4 linked regions of the Rhinolophus ferrumequinum genome follow. The protein of the gene in region 2 purifies or fractionates together with the protein of the main gene of each other region. This does not show direct contact. Links are inferred from orthologs where the notes say so. Each region holds a gene or a part of one and is shown on either strand. Other genes may lie near its edges. The genes, in order: RPS6KA4, CDC37, CHUK and IKBKG.

What was found.
Region 1: the proteins of CDC37 (region 2) and RPS6KA4 purify together in Homo sapiens (affinity purification with mass spectrometry; 3 studies listed by BioGRID and IntAct, with this or other methods). This does not show direct contact. The link is inferred for Rhinolophus ferrumequinum from reciprocal best matches to the Homo sapiens genes CDC37 and RPS6KA4.
Region 3: the proteins of CDC37 (region 2) and CHUK purify together in Homo sapiens (affinity purification with mass spectrometry; 7 studies listed by BioGRID and IntAct, with this or other methods). This does not show direct contact. The link is inferred for Rhinolophus ferrumequinum from reciprocal best matches to the Homo sapiens genes CDC37 and CHUK.
Region 4: the proteins of CDC37 (region 2) and IKBKG purify together in Homo sapiens (affinity purification with mass spectrometry; 7 studies listed by BioGRID and IntAct, with this or other methods). This does not show direct contact. The link is inferred for Rhinolophus ferrumequinum from reciprocal best matches to the Homo sapiens genes CDC37 and IKBKG.

What each region holds. Positions count from the first base shown.
Region 1 is NC_046294.1:7,080,459-7,088,207, forward strand, and holds the start of RPS6KA4 (ribosomal protein S6 kinase alpha-4), read right to left. Parts: upstream 3,006-7,749; 5' UTR 2,902-3,005; coding exon 2,847-2,901; intron 2,744-2,846; coding exon 2,672-2,743; intron 2,012-2,671; coding exon 1,787-2,011; intron 1,703-1,786; coding exon 1,587-1,702; intron 1,013-1,586; coding exon 905-1,012; intron 683-904; coding exon 602-682; intron 521-601; coding exon 417-520; intron 328-416; coding exon 177-327; intron 1-176. Other genes in the region: CCDC88B (coiled-coil domain-containing protein 88B), read right to left, coding at 5,394-5,449, 6,319-6,387, 6,543-6,743, 7,289-7,455, 7,639-7,737. UniProt on the Homo sapiens protein: Serine/threonine-protein kinase that is required for the mitogen or stress-induced phosphorylation of the transcription factors CREB1 and ATF1 and for the regulation of the transcription factor RELA, and that contributes to gene activation by histone phosphorylation and functions in the regulation of inflammatory genes.
Region 2 is NC_046301.1:39,858,001-39,865,645, reverse strand, and holds the start of CDC37 (hsp90 co-chaperone Cdc37), read right to left. Parts: upstream 3,012-7,645; 5' UTR 2,900-3,011; coding exon 2,798-2,899; intron 1-2,797. UniProt on the Homo sapiens protein: Co-chaperone that binds to numerous kinases and promotes their interaction with the Hsp90 complex, resulting in stabilization and promotion of their activity. Inhibits HSP90AA1 ATPase activity.
Region 3 is NC_046299.1:24,311,353-24,318,761, reverse strand, and holds the start of CHUK (inhibitor of nuclear factor kappa-B kinase subunit alpha), read right to left. Parts: upstream 3,014-7,409; 5' UTR 2,944-3,013; coding exon 2,839-2,943; intron 1-2,838. Other genes in the region: CWF19L1 (CWF19-like protein 1), read right to left, coding at 5,752-5,896.
Region 4 is NC_046284.1:6,116,195-6,123,586, reverse strand, and holds the start of IKBKG (NF-kappa-B essential modulator), read left to right. Parts: upstream 1-4,391; 5' UTR 4,392-4,795; exon of another isoform or gene 4,796-4,896; intron 4,897-7,392. Other genes in the region: G6PD (glucose-6-phosphate 1-dehydrogenase), read right to left, coding at 3,160-3,287, 4,111-4,210. UniProt on the Homo sapiens protein: Regulatory subunit of the IKK core complex which phosphorylates inhibitors of NF-kappa-B thus leading to the dissociation of the inhibitor/NF-kappa-B complex and ultimately the degradation of the inhibitor.

The sequences.
Region 1 (7,749 bases), on a different chromosome or scaffold from region 2:
TTCTGAGATTCAATAGAGATGGATGAGAAGATAAGTCTGCTTTCTTTATCTGGAGACTTTTCTAAATCAAGTGAAACTGGCCTGTCTCCGACCATCCCTCCAGTGTCCCCAAACCCAGAGCAGCAGCCCAGCTTAGGTATGTGCAGAAAGGTGTGGGGGCGGCTCAGGAGCCTCACCTGGAAAAAGGGATGATTCTTGACTTCCTGTGCCCCCTGGGGCCCCGCACCCAGCCGCTTCTTGGGGTCCTTGCAAAGTAACCGCTGAAGCAGATCCTGCGCCACAGGCCCGATCCGAGGGGGGAAGGGAGGGGAGCACTTCAGGATCCGTCTGGGAGGATTGGGGGGGGCGTCAGGGGCAGCGAGCCCCCCCTCCCTGCCCAGGCCCCTCAGCTGCCCTCCACATCCAGCCCCACTCACCGAGACACCTCTGCCTGCGTATTCCTCTCACCCTCCAGAGTGAAGGGTGAGGCCCCAGTCAGCAACTCAAAGAGCAGGATGCCCAGGCTCCACCAGTCCACAGCCTGCCAGGGCCGAGCCAAAGTGAGGGCCTGCAGCCACCCCGGCCTCACCCCACCACCACCCCCACTCCCCTGCCAACCCACCTTGCCATGCCCCGACTTGCTGCGGATGATTTCTGGGGCCATGTACTCGATAGTGCCACAAAAGGAGAAGGTTCGCTCTTTCTGGAAGGGCAAGAAGACCCACTTTGGACAACCAGCAACCCTCAAGGTTCAGAGGAGAACTCACTGGACTTGCGAGGGTTGGAGCAGTGAGAACTTCCTGAAGGCAGGGCCTAGGGCGATTTACCTCTGTACCTCCAAGAAACAAGCAGTGCCAAGCATGGAGCAGGAGACAGGAAGGAGATGGCTTACACTGGGGTAGGCGGAGAGACTGCTTTCACTCACCTCCTCTGTCAGGAACTCCTTGCTTAGCCCAAAGTCCGTAAGGACGATGTGGCCCTCGGAGTCAAGCAGCACATTCTCCAGCTTCAGGTCTCGGTAGATGATGCCCAGCTGGCAGGAGCAAGAGGGATACTGAGGACCCTTCCCCTAACAGCCCCAGCTCCTACAGCTCATGTCCCTGCACCAAGTCAATGCCCAGAAGAAGGGGACCCCCTGGAGAAGGGGATCTTCAGTGCAGGAGTGGGCCTGGGGTAGGACTGAGCCACTGAAGAGGAAAGGCCATTTAAGATGCAAAAGCTAGCAAGGAGGACCGCCCCATGGTAGGGGCCCAGAGAAGCAGGCCCCAAGGTCCCAGAGAGAAGAAAGCCTGTGTGAAGAGCTCCATGGCAAGAAGGCTTTGGGAGCCAAGGCATGAGGTCTCCATTTGAGGAAGTTCTATAAACACGGCCCCAAGAGGCAGTCCCGAGTTCCCTGTGAGAGGAAAGCACCTTCGAGGGGACGTCAGGGGAAGAGACCCCACCAGGCAGTGCAGAGGCCTTCCTTCCAGGAGGCCTGAGGAAGCAGCTCTGGTCTCCACCACCCCCCAGGAAGAGAGAGAGATCGGAGGCTGCCATGTTTGGAAGCCCCTAATAAGGCCCAGACCCAGTGTCCATGGCAACAGGCATGTGGCCAGGTCCTCACCCACCTTGTGGAGGTGTTCGAGAGCCAGCACAATCTCGCCCCCATACACGCGCACCTCAGCCTCCTTGAAGTGCTGGCGCTGGTAGAGGTGGGTGAACATCTCACCACCATTCACATAGTCTGGGGGATAGGTTAGATGTTGGAAGCAGTCCCCATGGGTGGCCCCACCTGCCTCCATAGCCCCCAAAGTTGGCAGGTGCCTGCCTTTACCCAGGATGAGGTGCAGCTTGGCATCGGTCTGGAAGGCGTAGTGCAGCGTGACCAGGAAGGGCGCCTGGCGCACCAGCTCCAACACTGACCGCTCAGTGCGAGTGTGCTCCTGCGTCTTGGCGCGCTGCACCAGCGCAGCCTTGCGCAGCACCTTCATGGCATACAGCTTCCCTGCGTCGTGCCCACCCGCCTTCCGTACCAGGAACACCTTCCCGTAGGCTGTGGGAGCAGCGAGTAGGCAGAGGGTAGGCGGTGAGCAGGAGGGTGGTGCAGACTGGTGGGGGTAGGAGTGATGCCAACCCAGGAGGGTGTGCAATTGGGGGAAGGAACTGGGGTGAGAGGCAGGTGTGCAAAAAGCCGGCAGAGGCTTCTAAGGGAAAGGTGTGCACAGCACTGGGAGGGTGCTCAGCAAAAGCCGGGAGGGGTGTGCAAACCAGCTGGGGGCTATGCAACTCCAGGAGGCCTGCAGGGCAAGGTGGGGGCGGGGCCTGTGCAAACCTGGGGAAGATCAGACAGATTTGAGGACATGCAAATCCAAGCAAGGGAGGCAGAGGTACGTGCAGATTTGGGAGGGATGTGCAAACCCAAGCTGGGGAGTTTGCAAAGTGGGGGAGAGGACTCTAATATCAGCGCAAGGAGAGGAACTGTGCAAATCACTTGGGAAGGCTGCAAGCCCCCAAAGGTGTTGGCAAATCCAGGAGGACCTTGCAAAGGGCATGCAAACCCTGGCAGGGCAGGGCAGGCAAGGCGGGCTGTTCCAAGAAAGGGTGGGGGGCATTGCTGGTGGCCTGGCCCAGGCCCAGGCGGGTGTGCCGGCAGGAGGCAGGAGGCCCAGGGCACCGTGCCTGGGACATCTGCCTGGTGGGTAGGGGTCCTCACCTCCCGTGCCCAGCACCTTGAGCAGCTCGAAGTTCTCCACGCTCACCTTCTCCTTATGCCCAGTCAGGTTGGCTGTGGGCATAGGGGGCGAATGAGCCCAGCCAGTACATGACCCCTCCCTGTGGCCCAGGCAGTCATCACGCAGCCCCGCAGCCCCTGGCCGCCCCTGCCCCACCTTCCGTGATCCGCAGCTCCACAGCGCAGCCCTCCTCCTCGTCCTCGTCCCCCATGGCGGGCCGGTCACTGGGGCCCGCACAGCTCGGCTCCGGGCGGCGCCGGTTACATGGCGGCTCCGGCCGGGGCGGGCGCTTCCTGGTGCCGCCTCCAGGCCGAGTTGGGCGCCGGCACCGCCTCCCATCTCCCCGCCCCGAGCGGCCTGAGTCAGGCGCAGGAACGTGACAGCTCTGGGCTGCGGGTGGGCGGGCGGGAGCGGCCAGTCTTCTGCGGGCGCACAGGGAGGGCATCAGGGCTGCGCGCACCCGGACCGCTTGCGACCCTCCTGGTGACCTCGGAACAACCCCTTGGGAGCCATGCCTGGGATCTGCGGATTACCTGGAGTTCCAATTGCGCAAACACTCCCAAGCCAGGTGTCTGCCCTGGGGTGCCTGGTGAAGCCAGTGGTGCTGAGACCCTGGAGCCTGTGCCGCAGAGGAGTGCACGCTGGCACTTCAGAGTTTCCCCTCCAGGGTAAAAATGTCAGCCCAACATCTCTAATTCTTAGCCACAGTGAAAGTGAGGAATTTCATAAAATTCACAACCCACCACCTCGTTTGGGATCACTCCTCGAAGTCAGCAAATAGGAAGGGGTCTGTAGGTCCCCTTGACAGATGAGCAGCCGGAAGCCACACAGCTGCCTTTATCCAGCTGCTGCCAGCACAGGGCTGGCCCAGCACCTCTCACTCAGTGTGGCCCACTGCTCTTGGCGCTGGGCAGCCCTAAGGAGGTGTTTGGGTCCTGGAAGCCACTCAGCTCAGCTCAGCTCACGGTCCACACCTCAGCGGCCAGCTGAGACCCTCTCCCCTGTGGACTTGCCTTTGCAGGGGAGGGTCTGGGGACTCAGGTGCCCTGAGGACCAAAGCCCTGTCTCTGGGCTCCCCCTACCCAGGGAGCACCTACAGGGGACACTGGGAGGGTGCTGGAGCCAAGCCCCACCCCATGACAGGGAGGGGTGACCGAATCTCTTTAGACCAACCTGTAAAAGCACCTCAGGCCTCAGCCACCCTCCACATCCCACCCAGTGCCACGCACCCTCCCATGGTTCTGCCCTGTCATCCCCAAGCCTGGCACAGTGCCCATGCAGAGCCCAGAGTAGGCCTCAAAAAGGAACATGGAGGAACGTGAAGGAACATGAGCCTCACAGGGATGGCCTGCTCTCCACCAAGCCTGGCGCCCTGACTGGTCTGTCCTCCAGAGCCTCGTCCCCCTCCCGGACAACTGACAGGGGCCACCAACAGGGTAGGGCAGCCATCAAAGCCCCCACCCTGAGGCCTATGGGAGAGGGCTTCCAGCTGGAGGCCTGGGGTTCCACTCCCACAGAGGCTATCAGCCTCTGAAGCCGGGGCTAAGAGGAAGCAGGCAGAGCAATGGGTTATTTCTAAGGGGGTTGTGGAAGCCCCATGAGTCGAGCTACTACAGGTCACCCTGGGGAGGCTGGTCTGACCACCCCTCCCAGCTCTGCCTACCCCCAGATTCAGGCTGCCTCACCTCAGCCCGGGGCAGCCCCTCCCTATCTTGGGAGGCCCCAGTGCCTTGAGTCACGTCCTGCCACCCAGCCTAATTGCCCCCTCCCTGAGTGTCATCCTAGAGGCCCTGGTCAAAGACCGTCCTGTCCCTCCCACTTCTTGTGTTCCTCCATGACAGCCCCTGGCACTAGGTGATACCCACCAGGCTGTGACCTCCCTGGGGAGGGGCTCAACCCCAAAGGGGTGGGGGAGAAATGAGGAGATAGAAAGAAGTGAAAGGAGAGAAGAGGGTGCCAGAGAGGGAGGGCAGGGCCTCTGGGGTTCACTGCCCCCACTCCAGAGCCCAAAGCCCACCTTTTAAGCAAAGGCTGAACCCAGACTAAGGCCCCACCCACTGCTGGCTACCCAGAACCCCCCACCCCTCTGGGACACCCAGGGAAGCCTGACAGGCCACTCCCCTGAAGAAAGCCCTTCGTTGCCCTGTGCCAGGTGAGGAAGCCAGTAGCCATAGACCCCACTGGCAGAGAAAGACTCCAGGCCGCAGGTGTCCCTGGTGGCTTGTGGCTCTGGATGCAGCCAGTACACACAGAGCGCAGATTCAGGTGATTGTATCCCAGCTTTATTTTCATGTCCCTCATGTCCCAGCTAAGGCTTAGAAATAGGCCCAGGCCACTGCCCCCAGGGAATGCTCCTTGGCTCCCCACCTGGACCGGGCAGGGGTCTCTCTTGTCCACTCTTGCCTGCCTTCTTCATCTTGGGGGTCCCCCAGAAACCGCCTCCTCAGCGAGGGCCACATGGCAGAACCAGAGCCCTGGCAAGGAGCTGCTCCTGGGGACCGGCCATCCCCCCTGCCCACAAGCTTGTCCCAGCTCCATCTCAGGGCCCCAGTGCCAGCCATGGAGGACCTGGGGGCCCAAGCCTCCTTGTCCAAGGACTTGCCCCAGGGGCCCTGGCTCCCAGAATTCTTGGGCTGTCTGGGGCCCCCACTGAGAGTCCAGTGGCGAGGTGCCTGCACTTCCACGCTCCCCATCCACACGGTGTCACTGGCTGAGGGAAGGGGCGAGAGGACGCTTCTCCGGTTCCTGCACCTCGAGGCCTGGAGGGAAAGGCTCAGCTCAAGCCCACTCCCCTGGGGGACTCCCAGCATTGGTGGTGGCCCGCAGGGCCCTACACCTTGTACCCACCCTCCACCCCTCTATCCTCTTCTCAGCTTTCCTGCCTCACCCCAGCTGCACTGGCTGCCTGGCCGCCTCCAACATGGCACGCTTTGCCTCAGCTGCTCCCTCTGCCTGCATTGCTGTTCCCCAGATATGTCACACGACACACTCGCCTCTTAGTCTCTGCTCCAACTTCCCGTCCCCTCTGAGGCCTATCTTGAGCACCCTGATTAAAACTACAACCCACCCACCCCGAGCTCCTGACCCCCCTCACCCTGCTCTCTTTTTCCAGAACATTGTCACCTCCCAGCATTCTAGGGCCCAGCTGCCCAGTACGCGGCTGAGCGAATGAGAGGTGGGTGCTCTGAACCGTAACGTGCTTGAGTGTAAAATACCTCTAGACCTGAACGACTTAGTATGAAAAAATAATAATACCGTAAAATATCTCACTAATGATTTTTTACACTTACTACATATTGACATGGTAATAGTTCAGGCCTATTGAGTTATATAAACTATGTTATTAAAATTAATTTTACCTGTCTCTTTTTACTTTTTCTGATGAGGCCACTAGAAAATTTTAAATTATACACGTAGCTCATATCTTACTTCTATTGAACAAGCGCTGTTATAGATGATTGTTATTTTTATGCATATTGTTTACTGTCTGCCTCCCACACCAGAATGTTCCCTGCTGTGTGGCCCCTGCTAGCACATCACCTGGCACTTAGTAAAGGCTCATTGTCAAATGAATGAATGGATGGATGAGCGCTGCCAGGGCCCCACGCAGGGCAAATACCCCACTCACCCTCTCGGCTGGCATCTGCTTCATGTTCCTCCAGGGTCTCAACGGAGCCATCCCATCCCATGCCAGATCCTAGGGGGCCACAAGGCAGCTGCTGGGCCACAGGGACCAGGGCAGAGGCAGGCAGGGCTTGTGGAGAGACACAGGGGACAGGAGGGAAGCCCCCTCCCCCAGGAGTTGGTAGGTCCACAGGAAGTTGGGGGCTCATAGAGGCAGGGACCCCTCACCTTTGCCATGGGAACTTGCCATGGGGCCTGGACGGCGCTGTCGGAATCGCTGCCGGGGGGTGTCCCCGGGGCTGAATGACTCAGAGCTTCGCCCCACTGGGAATCGGGAGCTGAGTTTTCGCCGCTGCCCACCTGCCAGGGTCTCATCCCGTAGGCAGAGAGAGCTCTGGGCCCGGCGCATAGGTGCCGGTGAGGGGGACCCTGCAAGACGCATAGGCATTGGGGAGTGCCCGAGCAGTACAGGAGGGGCAGGGCAGAGTAGAGGGGTAGAAGGATGAAGCAAAGGCAGGGAAAGGAGGCTGCAGAGGTGGGGGAGAGTCTGGGTGAATGAGGGTGGCAATAGGAGGCTAGACCTTGTGCTGGTTCTGACACTAACTCACTGTGTGACCTTGGGCAAGGCACTTCCCCTCCCTGGGCCTCGGTTTCCTCATCTGCTGACTGGAATAAATGACCTCTCACTAAAGGCCCCTGCTGCTCTGAGGTCCTAGGCACTGCTGTGGATGGGTAGGACTGGGTAGGTGGCAGCGCAGACAGGAGGAAGGTGCCAGAAGAAAGGGACACAGCAGGGACGCAGAGCAAAGCGCCACTGGAACCATCTGGGGGGGGAGGGTGCAGCAAGGAAGGCCAGAGGGGGCATTTGTGTAAGCCATGCAGGAAGGTAGAGACCAGAGACATTGATAGGCGCCAGAGCGGGAACAGAGGACATGGGGTAGGGACCATCCTTGTCACCTGGCCCCCAGACCCACCTGTCCCATCCGCCTCCCTGCCCTCGGAGAACTCCATCTCTGGGGGGCCCCCCAGGCTCTCGGTGCTGCCAGCCCCATCGGCCCACAGGCGTGGCCCCCCATGGAGGCCTCCCTCCCGCCGGGGCCGCATCAGCCTCTTCACCTTGTCTGCCAGCCAGCTGCCCTTCCTGGGGGCAAGAGGGCACAAGAGTGGGTAAGGCCAGGGAGGAAGGAGGGACAAAAGGCCATTGTTGGGGATGCAAAGGCCAGGCAAACCCTCACTGATCCTGCACCTAAGCTGGGCCAGGGTCAGAGGGCAGGCAGGGGCCAGGTCGGGAGGACCCCAGCCCAGAGGTGGAGGGGCCACTCACTTGATCCGGGGCAGGGGCCCAGGCTCCAACACACGGTACTGGTCCATGATCTTCTCTACCAGTTTCTGTTTCTCTCGACGCAGGGCATTAAGCTGGTCGCTGGGGGGATGG
Region 2 (7,645 bases):
TCACCACCGTCATGGCTACTGCCACCAGAATGCTCTGCTAACTCGCTCTGTGCCTTTTACGAGGCTGTATCTCCAAGTTCTAGCACAGGACCAGGCATACAGAGGGTGAGAACTGGGAGACCTGAGCCCCAGAAACTGACACAGTCAATCCTAAGCCACACTTTTCCCCATGTGGATAGGGGTCAAAAAGGCCCTCACCTCTGCAACCTCCCTTTCTCCACAAGGGCCTGTGTGGCCCGGGTGCCTTCCCACCACCTTGAAAGAGGCTCTCTGGGGTCGGCACCATACTTGGCCACAGTTTCTTGTTCTGTTTGGGAAAAAAGTGGGATTTCTGGATCTTAATGGGAATCACCCTCAAGACCCAGGGAAGCATATCACAGGAACCTACCACCCTGCTGGTTGCTGCTGGGTGGCGACCAAGCTCTTCCTGGTGTCCTCTGAGCAGCTGCCAGGGAGGCCAAAGCTAAATAAAGGCCGCCCGGAGTCGGTGGGGGCAGCTGCCTGCCCAGCCTGGGCTTTACACCTCCAGGAGGGACTCTAGCATGCTGGGCAGGGCAGAAGCCACAGGAGTGGGCAGGGCCTGCAGGTGCACTGCCCTCCTGCCTTACAGATAGAGAAACCGATGCCCCTAGAATCTTGAGGCAGCACAGCTTACGGGAAGAAGCCACAAGAAACCAGTGGCGGCTGTCTGAGCAAGGTTGCCGCGGAGCCAGGGAAGACTCACTTGTCCCCTTCTGGAATCTGTGTTTTGTTTTGCTTTTTACTATGAGAGTAAATTACCTACATAACGATGATGACGATGGTGGCTAAAGTTTATGGAGAGCTTATTACATGCCAGGTGCTGTCCCAAAAGTATTATACACATTAAATAAATAAGGCAACCTGCACGACAACCCTACGGAGTGGACACTATGAATATTTCCAGCTGGGGATGTTGAGGCACCAAGAGCTCAAACAACTCACTGGAGGTCACGCAGCAAGTCAAGGGATTCAGAAGCCAGGATCTGAAACCAGGTGGGCAGGCCGAGGCTCAAAAGGCCACCAGGCTACCTTTTCACTAATCGCACCTCCCGTCCTAGGCCCTGAGCCAAATTCTTTTCAGATCTAATCTCATTTCATTTTTGCAATGGTCTTGTGAAGGCAAGGCTGGGATTAGGACCCAAGCTTCCTTGGTGCTGGAGATGCTGAGCCCCGTCAGCAACAGCCTAGAGGCTTTCCGTGGCAAGACAGGAAACGTTTCTGCTTCAGGAGTGGGGAGGAAGGGGGGCAGAGGGCAAGGTGGAAGGCATTTGCCACAGGAGAGGGGGCACCGGTCTCCACAAAGCAGGATAGATTAACCTCTTTATGTGACAGAAATGTGTTCCCAAGAATGGTCTTTAGAACTTTGTGAAGATCTTAAATGCTTCATAATAAATGACAAGAAATAGAAGTGCTAGAACTTTCTTCTTAGACTCCAGTGGCGTGCCGAGCAGGTACACTACCCAAGAGACTGCTGCTCTAAGGAATAGGGTGGAAATGGGACTGGGGATCCGATGTGGAGACTAAATGCCTTGGCAAGATGGGAAACGGCCCTTCTAGGAGTTTCCGGATACATGACTGGGAGTTGCCATACCAGAGGGTAGAAGGTTCTGAGAGGAACACACCCTCAATTTGAGACTATAACAGGCACAGCTATGGGGGTGCAGCAGCCCTGATGTGTGGGAGCAGGAGGTTAGAACATTAAGACTTATGAGAGCCCTTCTGTTGGTCTGTGGACACTGCTGGACAGGGAAAGAGGAGGGAGGACACTGGGGCTCGGGATTCTGGGGTCTGGATTTGGGGACAAATATAAAAACGGGCAGTGAATTTGGAATCAGATTGGGAGAGAGGGTTCCTGGTGAGAGCAGGGACAATTTGGGTGCCTGAGCGCAGCAGACCAGGCTGGGGTCAGGGGCAAGGCAGAGTGGGTTTGGATGAGGTGTTCCAATGCTGGCAGAGGTTCCAACAGGAAGCTGGTCTTGGGGTTTAGGTGGTGCCTGGGTCTGCAATGCCAAATAGGGGCAGGGGGTGTGGCTGGACAGGAAGCCACAACGGTAGGGTTTCCTGGTGTCATGGGAAATGGGGTCTACAGTAGGTAAGGCTAAAGGAGAGCAGCCAGAATTGGAGGCTCCATCAGGGTGGAGCTGGTAGTTGGGTCTGGAGGGGAACTGGGTTCCAAACTCCAGGCCCAGGTGGGACTACGGGCCCTAGTGGTGCATAGGTCTACAGGATAGAGTAGGGGTCCTGGGTGTGGGGTGGCATCCCAGGTTAGGAACAAAAACCCCAGGGGAGGCCACGGTTTCTTGTTCTGTTTGGGAAAAAAGTGGGATTTCTGGATCTTAATGGGAATCACCCTCAAGACCCAGGGAAGCATATCACAGAATAGATTCAAAGTATTGAGGACTCTAGGGACTGGGGAGTGGCCGATGGGATATCCAACATCAGAAATGGGGACCCGGGTCCAGACTCTGAGGCAGAGCTCTGGGTGTAAATGAAAGGTCCCAGACGGGACTAGGGGGCACCCCCAAAGCTTGGCTTGGGAGTCTAGACTCAGGAAGGTGCCTTAAGCGTCAACTGGGAGTTCCATGCAAAAATTCAGGGTCCCGGCAGTTCTGCGGTCCCGGAGTTTAATCGAGGCACCCTAGGCGATATTAAAAGTCCAGACTGTGGGGTGGGAATCCCAAGTGTCAACGGCGGAATCCCTGGCTGTATAAGGGATCGGAACTTTGCAGCGGAGTCCCAGGAGGGTGGGGGAAGGGGCTGGGCGCGCGCGCTCTACCTGGTGCCGCCAGCGGAAGAGGCTGGCCGTATCGATATTGGGGTGCGTCTCGTCTTCATCGTCAGACACTTCAATGTGGTCCCACACGCTGTAGTCCACCATCTTGCCTCTGTGGCCCAGCCCGCTCCGGCTGTGAGGGCGGCGGCGGCAGCAGCGGCGGCAGCGACAGCACGGGAGCCTCAACCTGCGGAGCCCCGCCCCTTCCGCTTCCGCCGGGGGCGCGCAACTCCGCCCACGCGTGACGTCAAATCCCTAGTAACCGCGGCGGCGTCACTGGCGACCGAGTTATTCTTAAAGGCCCCAGCGCGCATATTCGACCCCCGGGAGTCCCGGTCGAGACCTCGCCTCATCCGACGCGGGGTTCCCACTAGGCATCTTCTAGGGGTATACGGGCGGGAGCTCCAACCTCAAGCTCCCCCTCATCTCTCGCTGCCCCTCAGTGGGAGTTTGCGGCGGTCGTGGCGGGGGGTGAAGTTGGCGACACTGAGGGAGAAGATTGTCCCCTCAGCCACGCCGCAGTGACATCAGCCCGAACCCCCTGCAGGGGCAGGGCCTCGGCGACGAGACCCGCCCTCTGCCCCTTGTGAGTTGGGACCTAATTTACACTGGGGAGGGGTGTGTGATCTGAGAGGACCTTCCCTCAGGGGTGCAGGACCCTGCCTTGGGAAGGTCTTAGTGAAAGAGGGATATTATGGCCGTGCCCTTGGGGGGTGGGAGGTGGCGGCGATGTGACCCTGCCTTGGGGGCTGGTATTTTCTATGGGAGTACCACAGCCTCCTTGTGCTGCTCTCATCTGCTACCACTCCAGAGCCAAGATTCGCGCATACGCCCCCTCTGGAATCACCTGGATCCCTCAAATGTGTCTCGGACGCGGGTCCGCGGCGTTTCCCCGTGTGGCCGCTAGGTGTCACTAATGTCTAGCCAGCGGCCAGTGCTCTAGGCCCCGCTCAGAGTCTTGGAGAGCCGAGGTGCGAAAGGGGGCTTTCCTCGTACGTAGTAATACTCCAGGACTGCTCATAGCCCCTTCCCTTTCGTCTGGACGCGCTCAAAGAACTCCATTATTCTGAGTTAGGGCGACACCAGCCGCACGCACACTTTCGTAAATCCCAACCCACACTTTGATACCGGGATAAAAGACTCTGTTGCAGCCTAGGGCCAGGATTATCTCAGATTAAAGGGCACTCCGTGAGGGTCCGGGGGGATGATAGGAGCTTTAGACCCTCAGGTGAGGGGCGCCTCTTCCCAGGCTCTCCAAATCGTTTGTTTGGAGGAAGGGGGCTGGAAGGTCTCCAAATGGGGGGATTCCCCTGCCCGGAGAGGGGATGGGGCCATCCAGAAAAAAGCCCCCTCCTGCTGCCGCCCCTCCACCTCAGGCTCCATTCAAACCAATCAGTGGGCGGGCGGGGGCGGGGGAGTCCCCCTGTCTTTCTCCCCTCCCCCTCCAGCCCCAGCAGTCCAGGATCTCAGAGACCGTCACAGCCCGGGCACGCGCGCGCACGGACCGACACCCCAGCGGGTCTCACAATCGCGCACACACACTTACACAGCAGCAAACAAAGGGTCTGGACACCCTTGTCCCCTCCCGCCCCCCCCTCCAGCCGGAGAGGGCGGGGCATCCCCTCCCCAGCTCCCCTGCAAGGTAAGCTTCGGGCTGCGAGCTGCGGTGGGGAGGGGAACCTGGAGCCCTGGAGGGAGGTGGACAGGATGGAGGGGGTTTCCCCACTCCCCAAGAAAGCCGGCCCTCCACCCCGTAGCCATCTGAGGGCTTCAGGCCTGCCTCCGGACTGCGGGGGATGTGGGGAGGACCCCGGATGCCGGGGATTCCCGGGTAGTCGCAGGAGTCTCTCCCTGGCCTCGAGACTGGAGCTGACTGGCCCCAGTTAAACCGGGTCCCAAGAGCCCCAGCTTCCAGATTTGGGGACAGGGCGCCGGAAGCTCTCCCATCAGCGCCAAACCGTTTCTTATCTCCTGCCAGCACAGTATCTCCAACCCTGGAGATAGAGATCCCGGAGTTGTTTTGCACTGTCCTTTGGTCTCTCTCTCCCCGCCCCCCCCCACCCCGTTAGCGCATCCCATGCTGTCTCTGGTACCTGCGAAGTGGGGGTGGGGGGCTGGGAGTGCTCCTTTGGGCTATCCAAGCTTCCTTTGCTGCATCCGGTAAGCCACACACTTAGCTGCAGTGGGACCCAGTAAATGGCTTTGCCTTCCTGAGCCTCAATTTCCACATCTGCAAAGTGGGTAATGGCACACCGAGGCTTACACGAAGTCATGCATGCGAGCCTGTCCTTGCCTCATCATTTATATCTTAGCTCATTTCACACCTATTTCCCAAGTGCCTACTATGTGCCAGGGCACTGTAGCCAGGCCGTGGTGCCATAGCAACCAAGACCAGCCAGGTCCCTGCTCTTCTGACCTTCCAGACTGGTAAGGGAGCAAGATCAGTATGTAAACAGAGAAATACCCATGGTGATTTCAGGCTGTGCAGACTAAACTCCTATCAGGCACAGAGAGTGTTGGGGTGTGGTGGTGGGCGGGGGAGTGCTGGAGATTAAATAAGATTTACCGTTTGTATCTGTCTGCCTTGTTATTTCAGCTCCATGAGGGCAAGATCAGGTTCAAATCAGTGCCTGGTACACTGTAGGTGCTCAATAAATGTCGAATGAATTAAAAAGGGAATTAGACACAGAGTATTTCCTTAGTATTTTAGATCACAATGGCGGCTTTATCATGAACCAGTCCATCCATCCTCCCATTTTACAAATGAGGTTGAGTGAGTCCCTAAGACCCAGGGATGGGAAAGATGTTGTCGGAGGTGATAAGGTTGATGAGGTGTCATCATTCCCATAAAAGTGAGGATGGCTGAAGGAATGGTTGTGAACAACTGGGAAAGGAAGATAGTAGAGACCAGACTTGGGCACGGTCTCTCCAGGAACCTATGATACCCAGGCAGAAACTACCTCTCCTGTGCCATGCAGATATTCATCCATTCAACAAGTATTCAGTGCCTACTACATGTCAAGGGCTGGGGACATAGCAGTGAACAGAAAAAGGCTCCCTGCCCCCAGGGAGCTGATATTTATTGGGGGGAAGAGAAAAACAACATAAACAAATAAATATGGTAACAAACATTATGCTTAGAGCTGTGAAGGAAACAGACAGCTTGTGACAAGAAAGAAAAAGGAAAGGGTCCATTTCAAGTTGGATATCCAGGAAGACCTCCTGGAGGAGTGGAATTACTCTTCCAAGACACACACACACACACACACACACACACACACACACACACAAATCCAGACAAATGTAATCCTACTCACACTCTACACTGAGAACCTAAATAATATGCCTGAGGCCACACAACTAGGTGAGTGGCTGAGCAGAGATTTGAACCCAAATTTGGCATTTCTAACCACTGTGAAAAGCTGCTTCCTGCTGCCTCCACATGCAAATACTCTCCCCCACACACACTCATGTCACAGTCACACAGAGGTACGTCTAACCTCATGCCCACATAGACTGATGTGGTGTCACCCTGTCACATACAAACACTCCTACAGGTAGAGTCTTGTCTCAACTATATAAACTCAGACTCGTGGAAAGTTCCACCTGTCAGTTGAATATGCACAGCTGTGTACAAAGTCTCATGCACGTGGCCGCCGACAGTTTTCCCAGCCCCACTTCAGTGCCAGGCAAGGAGCTTGTCAGACTTGGATGCTCAGGGCCAAGGTGTAGACTCGGCCTTTATCCTCACTCCTTTCCCTCTTGTTGGCCACCTGTCCCCATATCTTCCTGAGAGAAGTAGGGGGTGGGCAGGATGTCAGGCTGGGAGAAGCCAGCGCCCCTCTGTTAAGCCAGGCCAGGGGCTCCCAGGGTGGGCCTGTGGCTGATTGCACTGACAAGCTAGGTGGGGGAAAAAGCCTCTCTCAGTCTGAGCTTGGTGCCAGCTGCCCAGAGCGGCCTGCTCTGCCATCTGGACCCCTCTCCTCAGACAGCCTGCTGCCCAGGGGAGGGGAAGGCAGGCTTAGAAGCTGATGCCCTGCCTCCTGCGCCCAGGTTTCTCCCAGGATGGATTGCTGCAAATGTGCATGGGTGTGTCCGGACAGTGGTGACATGCATGTCACCTCTCTCCCCTGGCCTGTGGGGCTCCTCTGGCCATCCACTCCTCCATTCCGTCCTTCATTCCATATGTTCTTGAGCACCTATCTTGGGCTATTCCAGGCACTGGGGATGTAGCCAGGACTAGCTACAGAATTTGCACAGTACAGGGCAAGAGGAAAATGCAGGGCTCCTGGTCAAAATTATGAAGAATTTCAAGACGATGATAGCAGCGCATTAAACCTTCTAAACGTAGAGCCCTGTGGGATTGCACAGTTCAGATGTCCATGAGAGGTGGCCCTTGTTACAGCTAGAACAAGCCAGAAAAATCCCCTGCCCTCATGGAACTAAGGAGTTGGGAAGAGTAGAAACATACAGATATGATATGTCAGGGGTGATAAGAGCTGAGAAGAATAAGCTAAGTAAGGGCAGAAGGTGACAGTATTGGGGGAGACATCTGTATCAGGGAAGAATCTAGAACAGGGATGTCAAAACTTTTTTCAACGTTTTTTACCAAGGGCCATACGCAGTAAAATACACAAACAGCTGGGCCACTCACTCGAGGTGAAGTACATCTTGCCTCACCTGGTTTATTTAAGTAAACTAAATATATTTTTGGAATTTGCTGTGGGCCAATTAACAATGGATTGCGGACGGCAGTTGGCCCATGGGCCACAGTTTTGACAGAGACCGGAAGAAGGTGAGGAAGTCAAGCAGATTTATTCATTCATTCAAGAGCTATTTGTTGAGCACCTA
Region 3 (7,409 bases), on a different chromosome or scaffold from region 2:
TTACAATAAAAAAAATTGGAAAGCAACTAAGTTAGTTTCTTCTCTATAGGACCTCTCAGAGCTTTTAACATACTAACGTGGGCTATGACTCTCCAAATGAAGGAATATCATAGATGCAGCATTTACCCAATGTATTTGACCATAGTATAATTTTTTCAAAGAGTTTCACGGGATTAGTTTTTCCAAACACACTTTCAGAAGTGCTACCCTATTCCCTAAGAAGAGTTTTTAGTTATTTTGCCATTCTTCCATATTACTTTACAAATACCTTCATTATATAGGTTATCACATTGTACTTAAAAGTGTTTATGTACTTAAAAGTGATTCTGTGTCTCCCACTAGACTTGAAATCTCCTTGAAGGCAGAAAATACTGTTCATGTTGATTTGGGCACCATCAGCACCAGCACCCAGAACAGTAATCAGCTAAATAAACTCTCACATCCTTTTCTCTTCCTCATTGTGATTTAAGAGGTGTAGATGAAATATTGGGATGTGGCTTCCACCAAAACACTAGGATCTTGAAAGCTGTAAATGCAAACCCTATGTCAGGCTTGGAAGAGTAGTGATGCTGTTTCCAAGTCTTACGACAAAGTATTTCTTTCTTTCACTACAGGCCAAGTTGTCAAATGTCCCAGTTTTGGGGAAGTCCACTCTGGACACCTGGAAAGCTTCTGAGAGATTTCTAAGATTCTAGAGGACTCAAATCTCTTTCATTGAAAAAATGATAAATTCACAGAAACAGATAGTAGAATGCTGGTTGCCAGGGGCCCGCGGGAGGAGGAAATGGGAAGTTCTTATTTAATGGGTATACAGTTTCAGTAGATAAAAAAGTTCTGGAAATGAATGGTGGTGATGGCTGCACAACAATGTGAATGTACTTAATGCCACTGAACTGTATACTTAAAAATGGTTAAAATGGTAAATTTTATGTTATATATACTTAACCACAATTTTTTTTTAAAAAATCATGTATTCATTGGTCCCCATCCAGGGACCAAGAAAAGCAGTCACAAAACCATGCCAGCATGCATACCACGTTTCCCTGAAAATAAGACCTAGCCGGACAATCAGCTCTAATGCGTCTTTTGGAACAAAAAGTAATGCAAGACCCGGTCTTATTTTACTGTAAGACTGGGTATAACATAACATAATACCGGGTCTTATATTAATTTTTGCTCCAAAAGACGCATTAGAGCTGATTGTCCGGCTAGGTCTTATTTTCAGGGAAGTGGTACATTTTTCTTATGACCAGGCTGATGGTCAGGCTTCAAATACAAAGGCCAAAGGCAACATCTGCTATTAATAGAAGTACATCGCTCCCTCTCTTTTCCTTTTGAGTGCCTTATGTCCTCTCTGATGGCGAGAATTATTAAATTACTACTTGTCCAGCTGTCAAAGTACTTAATGCCTTAGTCCTTCGCCTTCCATTCTCCCTCTCACCAAGATTTCCTCCTATGCTCTATCCAGAAACCTGCTTCATAAAATTTCCTCGGTTCTATCAGTGATATTCGTCATTGTAACTGCCACACAAACATGTCTATTCCTCCCAGATGGAGTCCCATCCTATACTATGGGCTCTCTATCCACACCCACATTCCTTAAAACAGCAAATCATGATTTCTCTTCTTGAATTCACTTCTCCATTCACAAGCCAATTGCAAGCATTTTACGGCAGTAATAGCTTAACTGGTCAGCTTGTCCCATATGTTTTCCTACTCAGATTTATCTTTTACAAAAAAAGAACACTTTTATCTTGGCATTTCCTTTTTTGCAGGTCAATTAATGATGATAAAGATGATAATAACAGCAACAACACAGCAACAACGAGAGCAAACGTTTGAGGGCTTTCCATGGGCCAGGTACTGTACTTAGCTTTACACATATTACTATCTTCTTTAACTCTCAGACTCACGGTGAGTAGACATTATTGTAACCATTTCACAGATAACAAAACAAAGGCTATACTGCAGGGATTACTAGTCCAGGGTCTATATATCTAAAAGGTCTGTGAATGTCTTTCAGGAGAACATGAGCTTCCTCAAATGGCAATGCATAAGGCTGCACGGACGTGCCTCTGTGCATATTTCTGGGGAAAGGGTTCAGATCTTTTATTGGTTATCAAAAGATGCATAGCTCAAACATGATTATTAACTGCTGCTACAATGGTTAAACATTTTCAATTAAATCAACGCCAATTCCCGACTTGGATGTTAGCTGTCTGCCAACGACTAGAGCACCTCACCCCTAATCTATCTCCTTCCCTTGCGAGGCCCCGATCATTTTCACCATCTGATCCTCATACAGCTTCCTATCTGGAATGCATCCCCAATTCCAAAGCCTACTCGATGCTTCCAAACGCTTCCACCCTGAAACCTTGTCTACTCCAGTCCCACCGATAACACATGGCTTCCAAGCACACCCAAGTACACACACATTCCAACAGGCAGCCCCCCCCCACTCTTTAGCCCCATTTTCTCACCCACTTGTGCTCACAATACACACTCTCATGTGCATTTGCCTTACGTTACACACCGTTACACTCTTTACATTCAGAGACACATAAGCACCGTCACATTCGGTAAACACCTTGTCACATCTTGACACTCATACCAAAAGTTCTTCCTAATAACGCTAACGCACACACGCTGACCCAGATACAACCTGACTCAGTAACCACAAGCACAATCTCAATCTCTTTCTTTCTCACACGCACACACGCTCATTGGCCCCCAGTACTGCCCGAGGTAACACCAACAATCTCACATACTGACAGCCACTGTGTTCCACAGACGCTCTGACAAACAGCCACCGCCGCTCCCTCGCGCGCCCCGCCTCACCCGATGTTGGTACAGGCAGACGTTCCCGAAGCCGCCGGTGCCCAGCCGCTCCCGCATCTCCCAGGGCCCGCCCGCGCCCGGCCGCAGCCCCGGGGGCCGCTCCATGGGGCGGGAGGGCAAGCGGCCTCAGGTTCAGCCACCGTTCCAAGGCCGGTTCCGGGCCGCCGAGGCTCGCGCGTCTTTCTTCTCGCGAGATGTATGCATCACTTCCGGTAACTGCCACACGGAAAGCTCCGCCCCAAATTTTCCCAACGTGCCGCAAGCCCCTCAGCAGGGGAAAGGGTGGGGGGAGTAGGGCGCTTTCAATACGCTCTCTTAAGTACCCTGGGCATTTTCCTAGCTGAGAGAACCCACTTGTTTTTTCCCCAGTCTTCAAAAATGTAAGATCTCTCCAGGCCCTACATTCCCTTCAAATCACTTTCCAAAACAGTCTGTCTTGTATTGGTCTTTTTTTCAACTTCACATCATCTCCACCCCTATTTAGACTTCACCTTTCTTCAGACTTCTGCCATCTATTCTCCAACCTCACCATCCGCTGAGCTGGCACTGGCGAAGGCCACCACCGATTTAAATATGGCGGAAGCCGAAGAACTAGAAAGAATCCCGCGCTAACAAGGCCTCCATAGACTTAATAGTTCATCTTTTCTTCCTTAAATGATTAATCATGTTCCATAGAGTCAGGATCAGCTGTTCTTTTGCTTTATTTCCTATATACCTGTCCCAGGATCTCCCCTGTAATTCCAAACGGCTCAAGGATGTGATGCCGTTCCCGAGTAAAGAACGTTCCTGTTCCTGACTTCGGGATCTTGTCCCTGTCAAACAGTGCTCCAGATACGGGTTTGCCAGTGAGGTAGTTCCTCATTGTGGGGAGTTTTTCATGCGTGATGCAAGGCTGCAGAGGCAAGCTTGGGGAATGCTGTTGGGGCAACAAGAAGAGTTTCCGAGTGGCTGATTGCTTTAGCATAGGGGAACCAGCTTCCTGTTTTTGCTGAGTTGGTCATAGCTTCATAGGACTTGGGGATTTCATTAATCACTCCATTGTTACTCCAAGTATAACAATCAGCTTGGAATCAAATTCTCAAGAAATGTGTCAGTTGGCGTTAAGGATGGTCATTTGAGCCTCCTTTGAGACGGTGTGCACTTGATCATTTGCACACCCCTGCCTATGAACTCAGTACATGGAATTCCAATTAACACTTTGTGATAGATGGTTGTATCTATCACAGATGGTTGTACCACAGATGTAGCATTTGAAACATCTAAAGGTGGGTACAGCATGTGCACCATGGTAATGTCACTGGTTGCTTTGAAAGCATTGAATAGGCTTTTGGCAAAGCCAATGTGTCTATTGTCACCAAAATCCTTGAATAGTGCACTCAGATTGTTGAACACTGCATGATACGAAGCGAGTCATGGTATATAGGTCATCAGTAACGTGTGGTGTTGGAAATTCTGGTTTCCCATACATGCTTGGTAGCCACGGAGCTGGAGTATCAGACTTGGAGGTGATGTGCAAATGGTACTTCCAAGAACACATCCTTTAGACCCAGGCAAACTGCACAAATGATTGTGATGCAGATTATCCTAATACTCTGAAGCCCTCATTTGCTAGGTGTACAGCATAATGAGCACTGAAGTGTGTTTGATCTCCACAGGTGGGGCCAAAATCTCCTTATTGTCATTTGCAAGAGCCAGGGAAGAGATGCTGAGGACCTGAGGATACTGATGACTGAGCTGACCCTGAAGTGGCCATCTTTGCAGGAACCTGGTTGTTTCCTAAAGCTCATTCTTTAACATCCCCATTCACAGGGACACTGCATAGCTCTTTTTTAAAATCCTGGGCCGGTTGACCTCAGGCTCCAGAATCTTCAAGTTTGCCAGTCTCAGTTTTTTTCATGTATAAAATGGAGGTAATAATACCTATCTCATAGATATTTTGTGAGGATTAAGTGAAATAGTGTCTGGGCCATTAGTGCCCAATATATAGGAGCAATGATTTTTCTTTTGACTTCCAAGATACAACATTCTCCTGTGATGTCTCCCTCTCTTTGCTCTTTCTCCATATACTTGTCGGATCACTCTATTTCCAAGGTAGTCATCTTCAGCTTAGGTTGGTATTCAACCTATCTTTTCATTCATTCTCGTAATTTCACCTATGGCCTATACCCTGATGATCCCCAAAGCCCGATCTCCAATCCAGATCTCCATAAGTTTATAACTATGCAAGAACTCAACATATCTAAAACTCAGCATATCTAAAGCAGAACTCATCTTCTTATCTTAAATCTGCCCTTTCTCTTCCCAATTAGACTGTAAATTCTGGGACAACAGAGACCATGTTGGGACATGGCTATACTCCTGGAGCCTAGAAAAATGCCTGGCACATAGGAGTTAAATATTTGCTGAAGAAATGAATGAGCTCTTTCATATCAACAAATGAATGTTATGAGAAAAATGGCAAAGGCCTTGGGTTCCTTCTCCATCCTGGGTTGCTCAGGGAGAAGCCACCTGTGACATCCTGTGATAACAGCTGGGCCTAAAGCCCCGGCTCCTCCTATTACACACACACACACGACTTTATTTCAGTGGTTACAGGTAACATGAACATCAGGCACTTCCCAAACACGGGAAAGTATTTGGATTTTATTTGATAGTTTAAATGTTTTGGAAAATGTTGATAAACAAAAGCTGTATTTGGAGCTGGATGACAGACATGCCTTGAATATAGGATTTTCCTCCTAGAATGTGACTTTTTCCAAAAAATATTCAATTTTAGGCCTCTTGCTACCAATAGGTTCCATGGGAATGCACAAAAAAAGAGGCAGGAAAACAGTCCCCACGGGAGACTGTAGTTTCTTAAAAAACAGGCTGCTACTACTTCCTGTGAAGTTCATAAAGTGCCTTTCCCTTTGCTTAGTCATCCAGAGTAAAGTCAAAGGGCTCAAAGTCTTTCCGGAAGCGGCGAGCCAAGGTTTCTTCCTCTTCCTTGCTGATCTGACACTGCCTCCAGTCAGACTTGTCAGGAATATTAAGGATGGCTTCACTGGCCAGGACCTCCCTGCAGAAAGAGTACAAAGAAATCAAAATAGACAGTATCAGCCTGAACACCCCCCCAACCTTCTTTTCCTCTCCACCAGAGAGCTCTCCTCAGCATCACCCAAACAAGGCATGCAAATTCCTCTGACTTCACTCATACCATTTTCTCTTGCCCTGCGTGCCTTCTCTGCCATTCTAGCTATTAAAATTATACTCATTTTAAGTGACCAACTCAGATCCTACCTCTTTCTTAACCCCTCAAATCCCATTTACTTCTCTGAACTTGGAACTACATTTATTGGTACTTAAAGAAGCAACATGGCACTGAAGAGGGCAGGCCCTGGTGTCAGAAATATCAGAGACGATTCCATTCCTAGCTCTGTCCCTGGCTGTCTATGACTTAAACAGAAGATTTCATCTCTGAGTCCTGATTTTCTCACCTATGAAATGCGAACTAAGGGTTTTGTGAGGTATGGAAATAACACAATAAAAGTACCAGACTGGCTCTGATTACATCCTACCTTAAACTCCAGTTTCGTCATCCCAATTAGACCATGAGTTTGGTAAGGGCATGGTGCAGAGTTGGGCACCTAGTATCACACCTCACTCTAACCTTCTGCCTCTCCTTTCAGCGGATTCAGGCGTATGTGGACACAACAGCACAGGCTCAATACCAACAAAACTTGTCTTGGCTCTTAGGACTCCAGTATAACTACATACAAACTTACACACAGGCTACCTTCTAACTGCCACTGCTTTACACTTTTACTTATTTTTACTTATGCTGATATATTAGAAGTAACTCTATGCACATCTATACGGTTCATTTCCCACAATAAAGCTACAATAAATAGAAGAGTTGAAAATCAATCACATGAGTCTCCTAAAAGTCAGAGACCCCGAGCTCAAGTTCTATCTGCCTGGGCAAACCTTGAGCTGACTTCATCTGTAAAATGAAGATAGAATCACCTTTCTTGTACAGCAGCAGGGAAAAAAAAGTCTTTTCAAGTATTTTGTTAACTATAAAATGCTATGTAACTGTAAGTTAGCATTTTGAAAACTACAGTGTTGAAAATACAACTATCATGAGCATAAAATCATCCAGAGAATCTCTCTTGTAGGCTTATGTGCCTGTGTATATCTGCAATCATGTGCCTACATCATCAGCGTCCACATCTGCATCTGTTGCTGAGGCAACAACAAAAAGATAATGTCAAATGCTTGAAGCTCCTAACATACTTGTTCTCATTTGTCAATGATCTTTTTGAAAACGTAGACAACTACATTTACTGGACTTAATCCAATGGTGGCAATCTCTTGGAGGCTTTCCAAATTAGTCCAAGAAGGGCTTAAGGTTGACTCAAAGCTCAGATCTAATTGGGACAGGTGGGGGAATAAAACATCTGCAAATCACGGACACCAGCAGCAGGTTATCTGTACTGCACATTTTCGACTCCCCTCCATAGTCTATCTTTTCTTGTCAGCAAATTCCGATCTTCAGTCTTTGCCTAATTTATACCACTCCTTGTACGGTT
Region 4 (7,392 bases), on a different chromosome or scaffold from region 2:
ATGTGGCCTGGCTGGGGCAAAGGAACCTGGGCCACCACCCACCTGTGGCTGCCCAGCTTTGTCTTCAGTCTCCAGTGTTATAAGGCCACACCACTGCCGATATCTGTCTTTGAGAATTGTAGGCGTGGCAGAGAGCTCCAGAGGCTGGCTGCCAGCTAGAGGGCCCACAGGGATGGGCCATCCCGTCCCCCTAGGGTCAGTCAGGTCAAGGATCTGCTGGGTCCCCCAGGGTGGAGCCCGGGCTCTGGCTGGAGCCCAGCTGGCTCGTGGCCACTGCAGTGAGAGCGCTGGGGTAGGCGAGGCTATAAAAAAGAGCCTCCCTCCTCCATCGTGGGGTTCATGAATCACCAGGACTTGGGGGGGGTGCCGACATCATCATGACACAGCAAGAATCTTACCGGCCCAAGGGGGAAGACAGCCCAGCAAGATCCTGAGGAGAGGGAGGGGCTGGGGCTGCCAGGTCATTCCTTGCACAGGCCCGTCATTGGGATGGGTTCTGAGCACTCAGTGAGCCCATGGCCCTTGTGGTGCAGGTGGGGAGACTGAGGCCCCTGCAGTGAGCCAGTGCTGCCCAGGCAGAGTCGCAGTCCTATCTCTTTCTCTCACCCCCATTTCTCTCTACATCCCCTGGAGGGAAGCATCACTCCAGTCTGGCCGAGGCCCCATCAGATGGGGGGAGGACATAATGGACCAGGCCCAAGGTTCCTCCCCTTGCGCTGGTCTGTAAGGAGAAACTGGTTGCTTTCATTCCAGAGTTTTCTAGACTGGGACAGTAAGTACCTCCACTCCCTTTCTGCTTGGGGGTGGGAATCCTGAGATGGGGAGAAGTGGCTATATAGTGGGGGGAACAGAGAACAGCAAACAGCCCCAAGCCCATTGGGTAAGTCTGTGAACCAGCATTGTGATGCCCCCAGGAAGGAAGCTGGGTGTTCAGAAGATGGTTGGGTAAGTGAGTGAGGGAGGAAGGGGCAGAGGATGGCCACATGGGCTCAGCCTGTCCCAGGGTGCCCATCAGCCACTGGGCAGTGTCTGCTCTTCCCTTGGTGTAGAGTCCTCCCTGGGCCCTGGCTCTGCAGGCCTTGCTCTGAAGGCCCTCCTCAGGAGATCTGTGTGCTGGGGGGAGGGGGGGCTGGGGACACAAGGGCCCGTTTGTGTCTTCTGTCACATGCGCCACTCTGAAATCTTACTGGGTTGCTAACTCACCTTGGGTCCCAGTCCCCCAGCACACAGGTCCCATGAGGAGGGCAGGGCCTGTGTCACTGCACTGCAGAGGAGGTACTCAATCGCCACTTGATGCCTGAATAAGCAGAGAACTAACTGGTTTCCCAGAGAACCACCGTGCCTACTTTCTACATGGAGGGAGCAGGCATGGGAGGCCTGCTTCTGGGAGCTGTTCTAGGTGCTGCCTGAGCATGGGAGGCCCGCCTACCCCACTCCAGCCCCCTTGAACTGCAGGATGGAGAAACAAACAAGGAGGCTCTTCTTCGGAGGATCCCCTCCCCACAGCCTGTCCTCCTCCACTCCACCGCACTGAAGTGGCACTTCCCACTTCTGCTCTGAAAGCTTCTGTTTGTTGCTCTCAGAGCAGAGGGGAGCAAAGGGGAACCTCACCAATTGCAAGAAAACAAAGTTGCCCAACCCCAAGCTGGCCACAGAGGAAGGCAATGATGAGGAGCTACAGAATCAGCTCGGCAGAGCCCAAGGAAGCCTTGGCATTTGCTTCAAAAGCCCTCATTTGCTACATGGAAACACAGAGGTTCAGAGAAGGGAAGACACTTGCCCCAGGTCACACAGCAAGCTTGGATGATCTCAGTGAGATGTCTAAGAGTTGAGGGTCTGGAATTGTAAGCCATTTATTGTGGCCTGGGACGCTCTATTGGGGCATCCTGTGACTGGAGGGAAGGAAGAGAACTAATCCTGAGTTACTTTCTCCTCCAAACTATTTCTTGGACAAAGGGCCTAATGGTCAGAGTCCTTGGTGTTAAGGTTTGTGGCCAATACAGGTATGGCTCCTCTAAGGGGACCAGGCTGGAGACAAGGTGGACGTCACATCTGCCCCCTGTGTGCTGCTACTGTGTACTCCCCAGCCGTGGACTTACGGGGAGCCAGAGGACAGTGCTTAGTGCAGGCCTTCCCTCCCTCCCACCGGCAGAACCTTTCTCCCCCACTCTGCCTCCCTCCCTGCATTCTGGCTCTCCTTTTCCAAGTTCTAATCAGAATCCCAAAGTTGGCAGGGGGCAGCCTCTGCAAAGGACAGTGGCACGCTGATACGTGAACAAAGAACCAAGGTCCTCCAGAGTGAGGGGAGCATGATGTGGACGGCACAGAGAGACCATGCCTTCCCCGTCAAGAGCTGACTAGTTTGGGTAGAACTCTCCCTCAAGATTATACAGTAAGTTATGGGTAAAAATGGTCCTGCGATGCTTAGCAGATGCTTCGTCACATTCAGGGTTCAACGTGAAAAGAGAAGGCCGCTTTAACTTCGACATGAAGCCCTGGCAACTCATCTCACCAGGCCCTGCACACATCTTGCCGCCTGGCAGAGATCTCATTTCCACATGGTACACCGGGAGGGGGCCTTAGTGTAGGGGCCATGGCCTTTCCTATCAGAGCAAAATGGCAGTGCCACTGGCTAGACAATGGGGCAGGTCACAGCTCCTCAGCAGGCCTTGGAAGTTGGGGCAAAGAGACAGTGTTCAAAGAAAGGTTGAGTGTTTGTCCCCAGGGAACTTGACGTGGTAGAGAGACAAGGTGGAGATTGGGCCTCAGATCCTGCCTCTGGAACTAATTGACTGTGTGACATTTGTCAAGTCACAAACAAGTTTGAGAAAGATACACACAGAATGAATAGCCTCCCTTGTTTGCATCTCAGTTTTCCCCATGGAGGAAGCAATCCAATCAGACAGTCCCTAAGGACCTTCCAGCTCCAGGACATGGGTCTACATTCAACGGCTCTGCAGGTTTCAGAAATGCCTCACAGTGTGTGTATACCAGGTGTGCTGGGTGATAATGGCACACGAGCAGGAGTAAGAAGGAGAGTCTAACTGAGCTGAGCCTGTGTGGCCCCACGGCAACCAGTTGGGAAAGCTCAGGTACCCAGCAGGAAGAGACCTTAAGCAACTTCACACTTTTAAGATGTGGGGCCTGGGGGAGACTCACCGATGCACCCATGATGATGAAGATATGTGTATCGGACTGATGGAAGGCATCACCCTGGTACAGCTCTTCCCGCAGGATCCCGCACACTTGGGTCCGGCTCAGGGCCACCTGCTCTGCCATGATGCTCTCTGGTGAAAGAAAGACTTGTTGACAAGGCACGAGAACAGAAGAGCTCTGAGAAGATGGCCCCTTTCTTCAGGGGTCTTTCGGGCTCTCACTCAGCTGAAGTCTGATTATTCGAAACCACTGGCTGAGAATGGGGGGAGGTAGGATGGTTGGGGGGTTAGAAGCTGCTGGCTCTGAGCTCCGGCCATACTCCCCAGGAAGCCTTCTTTCACAGTGTACATTACAAAATTACTCAAAGCACTAGTGGATTCCAACGAGAGTCTCAATTCTGAGGAACTGGGTAAAAAAACCCCTGCTGGAGCATCGCACGATGCTAGTTTCATCTCAGCCTGGAATCAGGCGGAAACCCCACAACAAGCTGGAGCATGTTAGACCCTGCAGCTCCAGTCCTCCTCCTACCAAGCTGGGAGATCATGGCAAGTCCCTGCCCCTCTCACGATCTCAGTCTCCTCAGGGGTCCACTGGAAAGCGTTAAGACTCTCTGATTTTACCCGGCTCCCCAGCATGGCAAATCGAAAGGCCTCGCGGCGCAGCACACCCCAACACCGGTGTGGCGCCCGCCCACTTCGTTACCTGAGCTTCCTGTCCGCCTCTGCCAGTTGGTCTCTCAGCCCCGGAGTTCCCGGACGTTTCCGGGGGCTGCGACCCGCGGGTCCATTTAACCAGCGGGGGCGGGCGCCTGAGCTGAGCTGACCGCCTCAGGCGAGGCGCGCGGGCGGGGCCTCCATGGGCCCCTCCCTCGCGGGGGGCAGGGCAGGTGCGCGCGCATCTTAGCCTCCCCTCCCGCGGAGTCCCCTCCCTTGGCCCGCCCCATCCCTTGGGCACCTGGGCCGGCCGCTGCCTGCTGTGCCCATCGCCGCTGTGTCGCGTCCCCGATGCCTCGCGAGTCCGCGAGCAGCTCTGCGCCGTTCGCCCACGTCTCCATAGCCAGCCCTACCCCGCCCCTACACTCTGATTTTGCCCCTCCGCCCCCGGCGGCCCGGCGCCCTCGCGGAGGGCTCACTTCCGCCGGCAGTGTGGCCACGCCTCCTCGACCCCCATTTATGGGCGGGGCCGTCTTCACCCCGCCCCCTCCCGGACCGGTCAAACCTGTCCTGCGAGGTAGCCTCTTCGTGGCTCCTCCCCTAGCAGGGGCGGGGCGGCCGAGCGCCCGGAGGCTGGGTGCCACCGCTCAAGAGACAAGGGGGAGTGTGGGTTTGACGCCCCGGAAAGTAGCGGGTGGGGAACATCACTGGGGAGCGTCCTGCGGGCCGGCCGAGGGTGGCGGGCTCAGGCTTCCCTTTGGAACAGCTTCCCTCACATCTATTCCCGGCCTCTTTGGAGGGGCGGGGCTTGCGTGTTTTACTTCCGGATCCCACAGTTACGACACCGGAAGCCGGAAGTGGGAATTTCGTGGGGGAGAAGGGAAGAGCGACCGCGGAACCGGGACTTTCTCGGAGCGACGGGGCCCGAGGAGCGCTCGCGGCCCGCTGCTCCCGCCCTTCTTACGTCGGACTGATTCTGCTGAAAGGTGTGGTCCTCTTCCCCGAAGACAGGGTACCATCGGTGGGCGTTCCGCCGCCTCCTAGATTTCCCCCGGACGTCTAGGCTTCCCTCTCCTGTTGGGCCCAGGTCCGTTTCTGCCACCCGCTTCTAGAGTACTGGCCCAGGCGGGCCGATGCAGGACCCAGGTTGCCTTGGAGGCGAGCGGGACTGTTTCCGCTTGTCCCTCCTCCGCTGCCGCGGAGTCTGACCACACCCATAGTTCGTGGATGACTCTTGTAGTTCGGAGACATTTTCTGTTCAAACTTGCTTGTGTGTGAGGTGGTTAAATTCTTTAAAAAGACCTCAAATAGAGTTGGCAGCTAAGTGTCTTATCTCATGTGCCTCCGTTTGTTCACTTTTCAAAAACGATTCATGTCAGCCCGACCTCATACCGTTTGTGTGACTTGAGGATAAAAGGGCCATCATGGCATGTTGGAAGAAGAGCAAGGAGGCCATTATAGCTGGAGCAGAGTGAGTGAGGTACTTGGAGAGGAAGCAGTAAGGGATCAGATAGTGCAGGGTCTTGTAGGCCATTGTAGGGACTTTGGCTTTTACACAGAGGGTAATGAGGAACCATGCATGGTAGAGATCTGATTAGAGGAGGGACATGATTGGAATTACCTTTTAGGCGGATTGTTCTGACCGAGGTGGGGAGAACAGACTGTATGGGGCAAGGGTAGGAACAGGGGTGACCTGTTAGGAGGTTGTTGCAGTAATCCAAGTGAGAGACAATGGTGCTATGAGCATTTTATTATGAAAAATTACAAAGACGTACAAAAGTAGGAAGAAGAGTGTAGTAAATCCCATGTGCCCACCTCCCAGCTTCAACAATTATCAACTTGTGGCCAATTTTGTTTAATTTATACCTTTTACAATCCTCTCCCATTACTCTTTTTAATGACAGCTTTATTGAGATATAATTCACATACCACACAGTTCACCCATTTAAAGTGTACAGTTCACTGGTTTTTAATATATTTAGAGTTGTACAACCATACCCACTAATTCCAGAACATTTTTATCACTCCAAAAAGAAACCCTGCACCCTCTAGCTGTCACCCCATCACCCCATCTCCCCCGCCTCTAAGCATCCACTAATCTTTCTGTCTCTGTGTATTTGCCTATTCTGGACCTTTCATATAAATGGAATCATACAATATGTGGTCTTTTGTGAGTTGTTTCTTTTTCTTAGCATAATGTTTGCAAGATTCATCCATTTTGTAACATGTCTAGATTTTGATTATTCATCAGTTGATGGACATTTGGGTTGTTTCCATTCTTTGGCTGTCATGAGTAATGTTGCTGTGAGCATTCATGTATGGACATGTGTTTTCATTTCTTTTGGGTATATACCTAGGAATTTCCCCATTACTTTGAAGTGGATTTCAGACACCATGCGTAAATATTTCAGTATGCATCTCTAAGAAAGGACTGAAAAAAAAAAAAAAACAACCACAATACCATATCCCACCTAAAATAGTTAACATTAATTGCTTAGTGTCATCAGATCGATTCTGGGATATATTTTGGTAGAATTTCCTGATGGATCAGATGTGAGCTGTGAGAGACAGGAGTCAAGATGGACTCCATGGTATTTGTCCTGATAACGAGAGGATGGATTTGCCATCAGCTGACACGAAAGAAGGCTGCGGGACCTGGCTTTTGGGAACTGTCGGGAACAGTTTTAGAGAGATTAGTTTTGAGAGGACTCCTAGATTCCAAGTGGAGATGTTGAGTTTGATATGTGAGTGTGGCGTTGAGGAAAGAGGTCTAATTTGGGGCATCATTGACATTAAGGTGGGGGGTTAAAGCCATGAGGCTGGATGCTTAGTACTGGTGGGACTGGACAGAGAAGAGAAGAGATCCTAGAACAGAGCCCCGGGGCATCACAGTGTGAAGGGCTGGGTTACCAAAGAGGATTCAGTGCATGGCACCGAGCACAAGCAGCCAGTGAGGTCGGAGGAAAACTAGGAGAGGGCTGTCCTGGGAGCTGAGGGAGGAATCCGTGGTTGGTCAGATGCTGCTGATGAGTTAGTGGTGTGTTCAGTGTGGTAGTCAAATGTCCAAGTTTATCTGTTGTGAAAGCCTCCCTCAGCTCAGGCCTCAAAACTTGTATTGAGAGTGGCCTCCTCCGCCAGGTAGTCAGTCTTCTTGGGCAGGATTGAAAAGGGCTCCAGGCTGGTACTGTCCCTCACGGCCCGCCTCTCCTCTGGTTCACAAGAGAATGGGGACAGCTCAGCCTGTGTCTCTGCCCCACTGTCTTAGGCTGTCAGCCCAGCTCCCACTTGCCGATTCTAAAGCAAAAAGTCAGATACTGGATTTCCCTTTTGTCCCCTCAGTTCCAGGGAACATTCATCAGGGTCTGAGTGGTCTCCTCGAAATCCTTCTTAGTAGGTGCATTAATTTTCTGGGGCTGCTGCAAGAGATTTATTCTTTCCCAGTGCTGGAGGCTGGAAGTCTGAAGTCAAGTGTGGGCAGGGCCGTGCTCTCTCCAGAGGCTGTAGGGGAGGGTCCTTCCTGCCTCTTGCAGCTTCTGGTGGCCCCAAGTGTCCTTTGGCCTGTCGCCACTCCAGTCTCTGTCTC